3 linked regions of the Tribolium castaneum genome follow. The protein of the gene in region 2 binds, or shares a complex with, the protein of the main gene of each other region. Links are inferred from orthologs where the notes say so. Each region holds a gene or a part of one and is shown on either strand. Other genes may lie near its edges. The genes, in order: Mulk, Tim10 and Tim9a.

Region 1 (3,301 bases), on a different chromosome or scaffold from region 2:
ACCAGCTGGTGATATAATAAATTTCATCCAGTTGAGTTTTTGGAAGTCGACGTATAAATCATGTCTTCTGCAAGCGTTACTTTCGGTAATTTCATCATTTGTTCCTACAATACAATAAACATACAGGGTTGGGCGAAAATATGGAGCCAAGTGTTTTGTGCCTAAATTATGTAACTTAGAAAAAATAACTTACCATCACTTCTCGGCGATTCTGATTTTAATATAAGAAAAGTCCTAAACGCGTTTCTATTACTGTCGTTAAAAAGATTAAATTGTTCGTCGTTTGGTTTCGAAATTGTGATAAATATCGACAAATCCGTTGTTTTTTTTATCCAATTATGCAACGATTTGGTTAATTTAAACACCTGGCGATGATTTAAGTGTTGAATGAAAATTCAATATAATTGTTACCTGCCAGCCACTTTCAGCTTGATAAATGTAAATCACATTGAGCAGTTTGTGTGAATCTGGATTTATCAAAGCCGTTTCATTGATATCATTTTCGACTTGATAAAGGCGCAAAATTAGCGATTTTTGTGTCAAATTGGCCTCAACTTTGTGGTAGAAATGTAACTCAACCTCCGCAACGTCCAATTTACTCGAATTAAATTTGATTATGGTTGAATTTAGCGGATTTGCGTTGAAGAGAATGTGAACAGGAGCTGCCACATTTTGCGAATATGCTTCGTAATATTTGTAAATGTATGATGGTAGTTTATTTCGGGTGATGTTGGTCCAATTGTAGTTCCATTCGGAGTCTAAAAGTGGGTGAATGTAGGGTTTAGTGCCCTAAAACAATTTTTTTTCTAATTTACTAGTACTACAACATTATTATTACATTCGTATTTGTGGCAGTTTTACGTGTGACGTTCCTATTATTCCTGAGTTCACTTATTTGAATTGCGGGATAATTCGTTTGATTAAAATTGACACGATTCCGAACCATGAACTCATTTGTAGTTTTATTCAAATTAAAATAATACGTTTTGGCTTCGATTTGGGCTAAAACAAGGAACAAGACCACAGTTATCAACCGCATTTTTCACACAAACTAAATAATTTACCAATTACGACGCCTAACAATCCAGGAAATTGCAAATTCTCTAATTTACGGCAATTTTCAAATTACGCGCCGTCTTGTCCTTGAACCATTCCATTAGTCAAATTTGAGGTTATGCTAATAAATTTAAACAAAACATGACTTTTGTACTAAAAACGGCAAAAACTTTACGCAATCATTGGAAGAAGTCAACGTTTGCAGCCGTGGCCCTACTGTACGGCTTTGAATACGCCAAGGAACGTTTCGAGTGAGTGACATAACCTCACATTAGCCCCCTCAAATTTTATGTTAGGACCCAAGAATTGATGCGTGTTTATTGCGAAAAGGCGGCAAGATTTGGTCTTGAACCAATTCGTGTGGAGGCTGACCCCCGTAACGTTACGGTAATTCTCAACCCCAATGCCAATAAGCGTAAAGCTGGTGATGAATTTGAGAAATATTGCGCCCCCCTGTTGCATTTGGCTGGAATTTGTGTCAATGTTGTTAGGACAGAGTCAGAGGGGCACGCCAGGACTCTTATCAATGATTTAAACGGGACTGATGCTGTGGTTGTGGCTGGGGGCGATGGGACTGTCTCTGAGGTGATAACGGGGCTTTTGAGGCGTACGCAGGAAAACACCAACGGTTTGATTCCAATAGGTTTGTGTTAGTGGGTTTTTGGTGAAAATAATAAAGGTTTGAAGGTGTCTTGCCTTTGGGTAAAACAAATTCTGTTGCTAAAATTTTGTTTCCTTGTGGGAGTCATTTGGAGAAGGTTCGCTCGTTGGCTGATGCCACAATGGCAGTTGTTGAAGAGGTTGTGAAACCTATTAATGTGTTAAAAGTTGAGGTGTTGGAAAATGAAAACAAACCGATTTATGCAGTTTCTGGGATCAAATGGGGGGCTTACAGAGACGCGGAAACTAAAAGAGACAGTTACTGGCTTTATGGCAAATTTCGTAATTATGTGACTTACTTATTTAACGGATTAAGAAATAACTTGTCTTGGAATTGTTCAGCTGAACTTAATTACACACCACCTTGTTCAGGTTGTTCAAATTGTGCGAAACAGTCACAACAACAAAAAAAGTGGTTCCAGAGGTAAGTGGCATTTGTAACTTATTACAAATAATAAAAAAAGTAATTGAATACAAAGTAATCAGATTATATTGTTATTACTTTAATTACATTATAATCTGATTAGACCCCACTTTGGTAAGTGGTACTTACTTTTTGTACAATTATTTAGATTTGCCAAAGACCAAAAGCCGGGTTTTTCGAATATTATTAATCCGGAATGTCAGATGATTTATCAAAAGTATATTTCAACGGTTGATTTTAATCTAGAAGTTGAAAGTGAACAAGTCCCGAAATTGGTGGTCAATGTTGGTCCGAAAAGTGTCAATTATTTCGATTTTGTTAAAGAAGGATGGAAGTCGGAAAAAGGAGAAAAAAGAAAAGTGAGGGAAATAATTGAGGCGAGATCTGTGGAAATTCAACCGAAAATCAATCAAAATGAGGAGAAATGGTTTTCCATTGATAATGAAAATTATGAGCTGAAACCGGTCAGAGTTACGCTATTACCGAAATTAATTAATGTGTTTTGTAAAAAAGAAAATTTGTAAATAAAATAATTAAACTGCCCAAATTGGTTTTCTTTTAACATTTACAAATCGTTAAAAATAAGGTTGAAAGCCGCCGTTTTGATGTAAATTTATTTAAATAACAAAGAAATTAGGAATTCATAGATCGCATAATTTTACACTATCATCATATTTTCTACATTGCTGAGAATCATTGCATTTTTTCCGTCAACTAAATCGTGAATGATTAATTGTAACTGCACATGACGTAAATAAATAAGTGTATCGATAAATACAGTTCTAGTGATTATTCATTAAGTTAAGTATTTACAAAACAACTCTCGAGTTGTTTTTCAGTGCGTTATCTTTAGTCAACCGTTTGCCAAATTATATAAAATCGTACTGAACAAACAACTCTCAAGCTTCATGTACAAACTGGTATTATATTTTGAACACATTTACCACTGTACTTGCGGTAGTGGATTGGTATGGCCCTGGCTTGGAAATTACTTTTTTTTTCTTTCTTCTTGAGGTATGTTTACAACCAAACGGAATCACTTGGTTCAATACTGCTGTACTAAATCTAGTTACACTTGATTGACAAAAAAATAAACTAAAAAACAAAACAAATGATCTGGTGTTAAACAACCAGAGCCAACTTGCATACAGTTAACGGTAA
Region 2 (2,364 bases):
AACTTTTTTTGGCGTTTTTCTCGGAAACTGTAAGACTTAGAGCAACGAACAAAAAACCATCTGATAGCGCTTAATTTTATCTATTTTTTCGACCAAACCCGGAGCCGCTCCGGGCAACGGTTCCGGCTACAGAGGCGATCAAAGTTTTTCACTAAAAAAATTCATAAAAAAAAAACTAAAAGTCGTAGAGAATTCCGGTTTGTTCCACTGAATTCTACGGCTCATTTTACATATTATATCGATTTTTCACAAGAATTAAAAATTTAAAATTTTTTGCCTAAATTTAGGGTAGCCATTTGTCATACTGAAAAATTTTATTCATTAAAAAAATTCATAACTCAAAAACTAAAAGTCGTAGAGCAATGCGGTTTGTTCCATTGAATTCAGCGGTTTATTTTCTGTATTATACCAACTTTTCACGAGATTTAAAATTTTAATTTTTTTGCCCAAATTTCCTGAGTAAAATACAGTACCTTCAAAAAGTTGAAAAAAAAAATTTTTTTAAACTAACTTCAGCAAATTTTTATGGACTTCTACATGTCTTAACAACCCACTAAAGTTGTTAAAAGTCCACAAAAAGTCCAAATGTTCGATTTTTTGATGTTTGATTTTTTCAATTTTCGTCGCAGTTTTTGTCGATTTTGGGTACCCGGAACATTTGTCGAGCAATAGCTCCGGAACTATTAGAGATAACCCCATGATGTGTATTATTGTTGGAAAGCTCTTTAAATTATCTATTTTTTTCAAAAAATATTATTGTTCTCCGACTAATAGTTTTCGAGCAAATTGCTGCTAAATGCAAAAATCAAATTTCAACTGACCAAGGGTTAGGGCAAACTAAAATAGATCTCTACTGTGATTTCTATTAGATTTGTTGTAAACCATCCCTTAAATAAATGGAAATCACGTGTAAACTAGACTTTTTGTGCTTCCATAACGCAACGAACGTACACGCAACGTAACCGCAAAAGTCCATGTGAGCATAACCACAATTTTAAAAATTCACGATTTTTGATATTTTTAACAACTCCTAGTTTGTTAAATAATGAGTTAAGGCATTGGTGGAAGTATGCGCTTAGGGACACATGCAAAAATAGGAATTGGATGGTAAGTTCCAAAAGTAGGCAACGACTGACCATAACCTCACTTTCGCACCGAAAAATCGTTTTATTGCAATAATTTGTCGGTTCGCAGGACCATATGTACAACGTTTGGTATTTACTTGTTCTACTTGTCCAAATCCAGTGTTGAGAAAAGGCGTTATGATAATATGAAAATAAGGGAACGCATGCGACTCTCGAACGTTGGTGATTACGAATTGGGTCCTCGTCACACTCCTCGAACTTAATTATCGTTAATAACGCGTCACATTTGCACGGAATTGAAATGGCAGAGAGTGACGCTCAAAAGTTGCAGTTGATGCAAGAATTGGAAATCGAAATGATGGCAGACATGTACAACCGTCTAACTACAGCATGCCACAAAAAGTGCATTCCTCCCGTTTACAACGACGCGGAAATTGCCAAAGGCGAAGCCGTTTGCATTGATAGATGTGTGGCCAAATTTCTAGACATCCATGAACGCATTGGCAAGAAACTTGGCCAACTTTCAATGCAAGACGAGCAACTTCTTAAGAAATAATTGGAGCGCCCCGTAGTTGGACTTAGTTATGTTTTGTTTTTGTTTGTAATTTAATTTTGTAATGTTGGTTTATTCTAGAGGTAATAAACTTGACTAGACAAAGTGTAGTTTTTATTTTTAATTAATCAATGCTTAAAACACTTTTCTTCGACTTGACTGCTTCAGTGGTTTGGAAGTGAGCCGCTGTTCGCTTCCTGATATCGTCCACACTGTCCTCACTTGAGGCCCACTCGAGAACTAGTCTCCGACCGTACAAGTGGGTACTTTGACACAAAGCCTCAAATGCATTCTAAAAAAATAATTATGCTAACAAGTTACAATTAATAATTAATTCACCTTGGCATCAGAGGCTGCCACAAAATCGACAAACGCAAAACCTCGATGTGAGCCCCCATCCAAGGCCATTTTCTTTGGGAGCCTTAACGCTTTAATTTCGCCAAAAACACTAAAACAATTAATTAAGTCATGTTAGTAGTACAATTAAATTTTAATAAAATGCCTAAAAAGTTCCCTAATTTCCTTCTGGTTAGCCTGGAATGGGATATTTCGAACCAAAATCTTGGTTCCTGTTTGTTTCGTTGCTTTGGTGCTTTTTTTAACAACTTTGACCTCGTTGCTAAAATTTAGTAAAATAAGATTAAGCGGAAATAAATTGGACAAGAACAAACTTCAACGTCCGTTCAGATCTCTTCAATTCTAGGGATTTGCCGTCTAGAGTGCTCT
Region 3 (4,319 bases), on a different chromosome or scaffold from region 2:
TGTGTCGTATTTATTTATTTCACAAACCAATAATTTCATAAAACTTAATTGCAATTAAAATCTTTAAATGCGGAATTGAAAAGTGATATTTTGAGTGACACATTTTAAATACAGTAACTATAAATAAAATAAACCACTCAAATAATTTATTGCCACGAAATTTTGCCTTTAATTTCAATGAATGAAAGTGGCTTGCTCAAAATTTAATGCAAATAAACATTTTTTTTGGTTTCATTTTTATTATTATTTTTTTTTGGTTTCATTTTTATTATTATTTTTTTTAATGCTACAAACGGTAGCCAACGTGGAAGCGATATGAAGGTAGGTGTATTTTATTGCTGTGTCGTATTTATTTATTTCACAAACCAATAATTTCATAAAACTTAATTGCAATTAAAATCTTTAAATGCGGTATTGAAAAGTGATGTTTTGAGTGACACATTTTAAATACAGTAACTATAAATAAAATAAACCACTCAAATAATTTATTGCCACGAAATTTTGCCTTTAATTTCAATGAATGAAAGTGGCTTGCTCAAAATTTAATGCAAATAAACATTTTATTTTGGTTTCATTTTTATTATTATTTTTTTTAATGCTACAAACAGTAGCCAACGCAGAAGCCATATGAAGGTAGGTGCATTTTTTTGCGTTTTATCTTGTGATGTGTTGATTTAATAGCTTGTGTGCCATATATTATACCGTATTGTGTATTCTTTATTCTGTATAATATTTATTAAAGTCGCTTGTTGTAACTTTCCTACAAATTAATTTTTTTGTTGGTTGTGTTTTTAATTTATTTTTTAGGTTTTGCTACAAATGGTAGCAGATGCAGTATAAAGGTAAGAGCATTTATTTAACGCCAAGTGAAAAAGCTTTGATTTTTGTGTACTATTTTTTCATTTCACAAACCAATAATTCCTTTATTCCCTTCATTTGAAGTAATCATTGTTTACCTCATCCTTATATCCATTTTTCCTGGCAAGAATGCTCTAAACCTCCACGTGGTTCTTGCCGGACAAATTAGTTATTGACTAATTTGACCAATTAGAGCAATCCTTAAATATAACATTGTTGACTGTTTTTTACAGCCGTAAAATTATGTCGCTTGTTGTAATTTTCATGCAAATAAAGATTTTTTATTGGTGTTGTTTTTAATTTTTTTTAATGCTACAAACGGTAGCCAACGTGGAAGCGATATGAAGGTAGGTGAAGGTGTCGTATTTATTTATTTCACTAACTAATAATTTCATAAAACTCAAATTTGTGAAATTTGTGACGTTTGTGAAATTTTTACTTGTCAGCCGCGCATCGGCACCACGTTTTTCTTCAATAATCTGAAATTTTAAATCCGCCAATAGGATTTTTTTTTCCCGTAAAACACTAAGGCCATCTATCCGCATCATCAGTAAAACCTAATTCAGTGAGCACAGCTTCCTTGATTAGTGAAGGGAGGTACCCTTTACACGGCTGGTCGCATTGAACAAAAAAAGTGTTTTTTGAGAGCTTACTTTATTGTAGCGCCATCTATTAGTTGCTGCTGAAAAATTCACTTGGTTTCAAACGTGACAGCCGTCATATTTTTTACAAATTTAAGTTTTCAACCTCTTTTGCACAAGATTTATACAAAATTTTGCTAACAGGAAGGCAAGACAAAGCTTAGTTTAATTTTTTTCCACAAGTTTTAATCTAAATTTGAAATGCAAAGCATTTGGACACTAATTACATTTTGTACAGTTGGTTGCAAATGCGTTCCAACACTCTTTTGATCATTTTCGTGAGCATAAAAATGTTTGTTTACCATTCGGCAAAATGTTCAAGTTTGTATGATGCTTTTTACGTTCGTTTTGTGTTTCGCAGTTCGCTCTTGGCATATGCTCTTGGTCGCTCACATGGCAACATGCGCTTTTGGTTCCTCATAGTAAAAACACGTGCCAAATGTTTGTAGAATACGTTTTCTACAACTATATAGCTAAAACTAATGCGTTTTGCCTTAGAAATCTTCTGCACTGACAGCAGTGTGACAACACTTAACCTTAGAACTGTCAGAATTGTTTTACTTTATAGTGGCTCCCTCTCAGAAACAAAAATATGCCAAGGAACTAAGCAATGCGGCCAGCCGTGTGAAGGGAAAGTCCCTTCATTAATCAAGGAAGCTGTGTCAGTGAGAGCTCGATTTGGCTATATCAGTTCGGGATGCCTGTGCAGTTTTCTCTTTTATCCACCTCTTGTCAAGTGACAATCACTGATTTGCATAACCTCACAAATTTACCTCGTGAAAACCATGGGGGTGAAAGTGGGATACGCGCATTGGCAACACGAGAGTATAGGCGAGGGGGGTTTTGCACTCCCGGGGAGATGAAAAGGGACGACCAATGACGACTGCTTATTTTAAAACAAGCGCGTATTTATTAGGGATTTCATTAAATTATATTTTTTGACGTAACAATGACATCTACGCTTGCGCGCAGATCGCACCGAAAATATCGCGCCAAAAGTGTTGTTTTGTCACTCATCGTTCAACGTGTTACCGGAAGTATGTAGCAATTATTTGTTTAATCGTTTAATCAAAGCAAAAATTCTGATTACAGTTCGTTAGTGAGTCAATTCCTGGTGTTGAGCGCCGACCAAAAAGATAAGTATCTCTTATTTTATTAATATAACCTCATCTTTTTGATTGGTGTTTCTTTCTATTTTAAAGGCATTGGTCTGGAGTGACGGATTTTTGATTTCTACTACTCAACTGAACTTTAGTCATGGCTGGTTATCGCAAATATTCCTGCAAATACCCCGGATGCACCAGTGATTATGTTCCCAACAAAGGACAGTCCAATAAGCATTTCTTCACCTTCCCTAAGAATCCAAAGCTTCAAGAATTGTGGAGGAATGCCTGCAAAATTGAGGATCCTGTAAGTTCAAAATTTTGGCGTTTTCGCTATTTAGGGTATTTCAGAATTTACTTTTAAGTTTCTTATTTGCGCTCGAGTGTGTCAGTGCACTGCATGTACCTCCTCGTGGTCGTAGCGTGGGCAACTGTTTGCTGACAGACAAGGTAAAAGTCATTGCAAAGCAGACCTTATTTTGTTTTAAGTCTCGAGCAGACAGGCAAAACATGCCAACACTGACTGATTTAATTTTTTTATAATTTTTGTATAATTAAGAAATAATACAATACTTTAATTTTTTGAAAAATTTAATTTGTTATGTTACTCAAGTGTACAATAAAAATGTTAACAAAATCTGTGTTTTATTACCCCAAAACAACTTTTTTTGTAAGTTTCATTTCAAATTTTGTTTAAAATAAATATAAAACGTTTTCATTTTGTTTAAAATGAAAATATATTTTTTTATTTTAAACAATTTGCAATGAAACTTGTAAGATAAAAATAATAAAAAACAATATAAAAGGAATTTATTCAAACGTGGCACTTTACCGTGGTAGTAACGCACTTCAGCACCAGAGGCGCTGGATTCTCGTGTTGCCAGTGATTTACTAGGGAATTATCACTTCTTAACCCTTTCTGTTCTGTGGTGAAAACCACAACAAAACTTAAATTAAAATGAATGTAACACTTCCCCCCGGTGCCGGGCTCGAAAATGTCGATGCAGAGCAAGTTAAAACGGTAATTTCAAAAAAACAACAATTTCAATTCTCAAATTTTTATTTGCAGTTCAAAGATTTCCTCATCTCTTACAATAAACTAGCCGAATTGTGTTTCACGGACTGTGTTTCGGATTTCACATCTCGGAATATCAAAGGGAGTGAAGTAAGTAACGACTGTCGGTTTCTGATCATTTTATTTTGCTATTACAGGATCGCTGTGCGTTAAATTGCCTCGAAAAATTTCTCAAAGTAAATCAACGCATTTCTCAACGATTCCAGGAGTTCCAAATGCTTGCGAATGAGAATGCAATCGCGGCGGCGCAAAAACTCGGCCAAAATCCGACCTGAACGATAATTTATTTGTGTTTGTTATTGTTAGTTTGTTACAAAATATAGCCTCATCTTTGACAACAGTGTGTTTGATTGTTTTGACAAAACTGAGTATCCTCATTTGCTAAATGGACCACGTCATTGTCTACGGCAGCGGGAAATTGCAAATTTTCGTGATTTTCCACTGCTGCATTTATCAGAGTCAACATTGCCTCATCTGCAATAAAAGATTACTTACCACGCTTGAATAACGCTTATTTTTACCTATGTGGACATTATCCTTCGCTGAAGTGATAAACCACGCTAATATGTTGTATTTCTCGCAGAAATGCACTATTTCTTGAGGCAGGGTTGCAATCGTAATATCACCCTTATTTGCTAGAAT

The links.
Region 1: the proteins of Tim10 (region 2) and Mulk are in contact, whole or in part, in a cryo-EM structure (PDB 7CGP), measured with the Homo sapiens proteins. The link is inferred for Tribolium castaneum from reciprocal best matches to the Homo sapiens genes TIMM10 and AGK. Residues at the interface, in NP_036588.1 of Homo sapiens: Glu40, Glu42, Leu43, Ser44, Lys45, Gly46, Ser48, Arg53; in NP_060708.1 of Homo sapiens: Phe49, Gly50, Asn51, Gln52, Leu53, Ile54, Pro55, Pro56, Val60, Ser91, Gly92, Met93, Asp94, Val95.
Region 3: the proteins of Tim10 (region 2) and Tim9a are in contact, whole or in part, in a crystal structure (PDB 2BSK), measured with the Homo sapiens proteins. The link is inferred for Tribolium castaneum from reciprocal best matches to the Homo sapiens genes TIMM10 and TIMM9. Residues at the interface, in NP_036588.1 of Homo sapiens: Glu16, Met17, Asp20, Met21, Arg24, Ala28, Cys29, Lys32, Cys50, Arg53, Cys54, Ser56, Lys57, Tyr58, Asp60, Ile61, His62, Arg64, Met65, Gly66, Lys68, Leu69, Leu72; in NP_001291414.1 of Homo sapiens: Lys15, Leu18, Gly19, Tyr21, Asn22, Lys23, Thr25, Glu26, Cys28, Phe29, Leu30, Val33, Asp35, Phe36, Thr37, Thr38, Arg39, Glu40, Val41, Glu45, Thr46, Glu50, Leu53, Leu57.

What each region holds. Positions count from the first base shown.
Region 1 is NC_087402.1:192,889-196,189, reverse strand, and holds Mulk (acylglycerol kinase, mitochondrial), read left to right. Parts: upstream 1-1,170; 5' UTR 1,171-1,197; coding exon 1,198-1,307; intron 1,308-1,326; coding exon of another isoform or gene 1,327-1,352; coding exon 1,353-1,699; intron 1,700-1,743; coding exon 1,744-2,140; intron 2,141-2,288; coding exon 2,289-2,664; 3' UTR 2,665-2,687; downstream 2,688-3,301. Other genes in the region: derriere protein, read right to left, coding at 1-104, 194-365, 412-789, 839-1,039; E3 ubiquitin-protein ligase TRIM33, read right to left, coding at 1,327-1,522. UniProt on the Homo sapiens protein: Lipid kinase that can phosphorylate both monoacylglycerol and diacylglycerol to form lysophosphatidic acid (LPA) and phosphatidic acid (PA), respectively. Does not phosphorylate sphingosine. Phosphorylates ceramide.
Region 2 is NC_087394.1:33,997,098-33,999,461, reverse strand, and holds Tim10 (mitochondrial import inner membrane translocase subunit Tim10), read left to right. Parts: upstream 1-1,246; 5' UTR 1,247-1,386; coding exon 1,387-1,641; 3' UTR 1,642-1,743; downstream 1,744-2,364. Other genes in the region: probable RNA-binding protein 19, read right to left, coding at 1,763-1,930, 1,978-2,086, 2,141-2,257, 2,310-2,364.
Region 3 is NC_087402.1:6,646,458-6,650,776, forward strand, and holds Tim9a (mitochondrial import inner membrane translocase subunit Tim9), read left to right. Parts: upstream 1-1,480; 5' UTR 1,481-2,275; intron 2,276-2,547; exon of another isoform or gene 2,548-2,907; intron 2,908-2,960; exon of another isoform or gene 2,961-3,428; intron 3,429-3,531; 5' UTR 3,532-3,560; coding exon 3,561-3,623; intron 3,624-3,671; coding exon 3,672-3,767; intron 3,768-3,783; exon of another isoform or gene 3,784-3,814; coding exon 3,815-3,952; 3' UTR 3,953-4,002; downstream 4,003-4,319. Other genes in the region: ras-related protein Rab-32, read right to left, coding at 4,003-4,151, 4,199-4,319. UniProt on the Homo sapiens protein: Mitochondrial intermembrane chaperone that participates in the import and insertion of multi-pass transmembrane proteins into the mitochondrial inner membrane.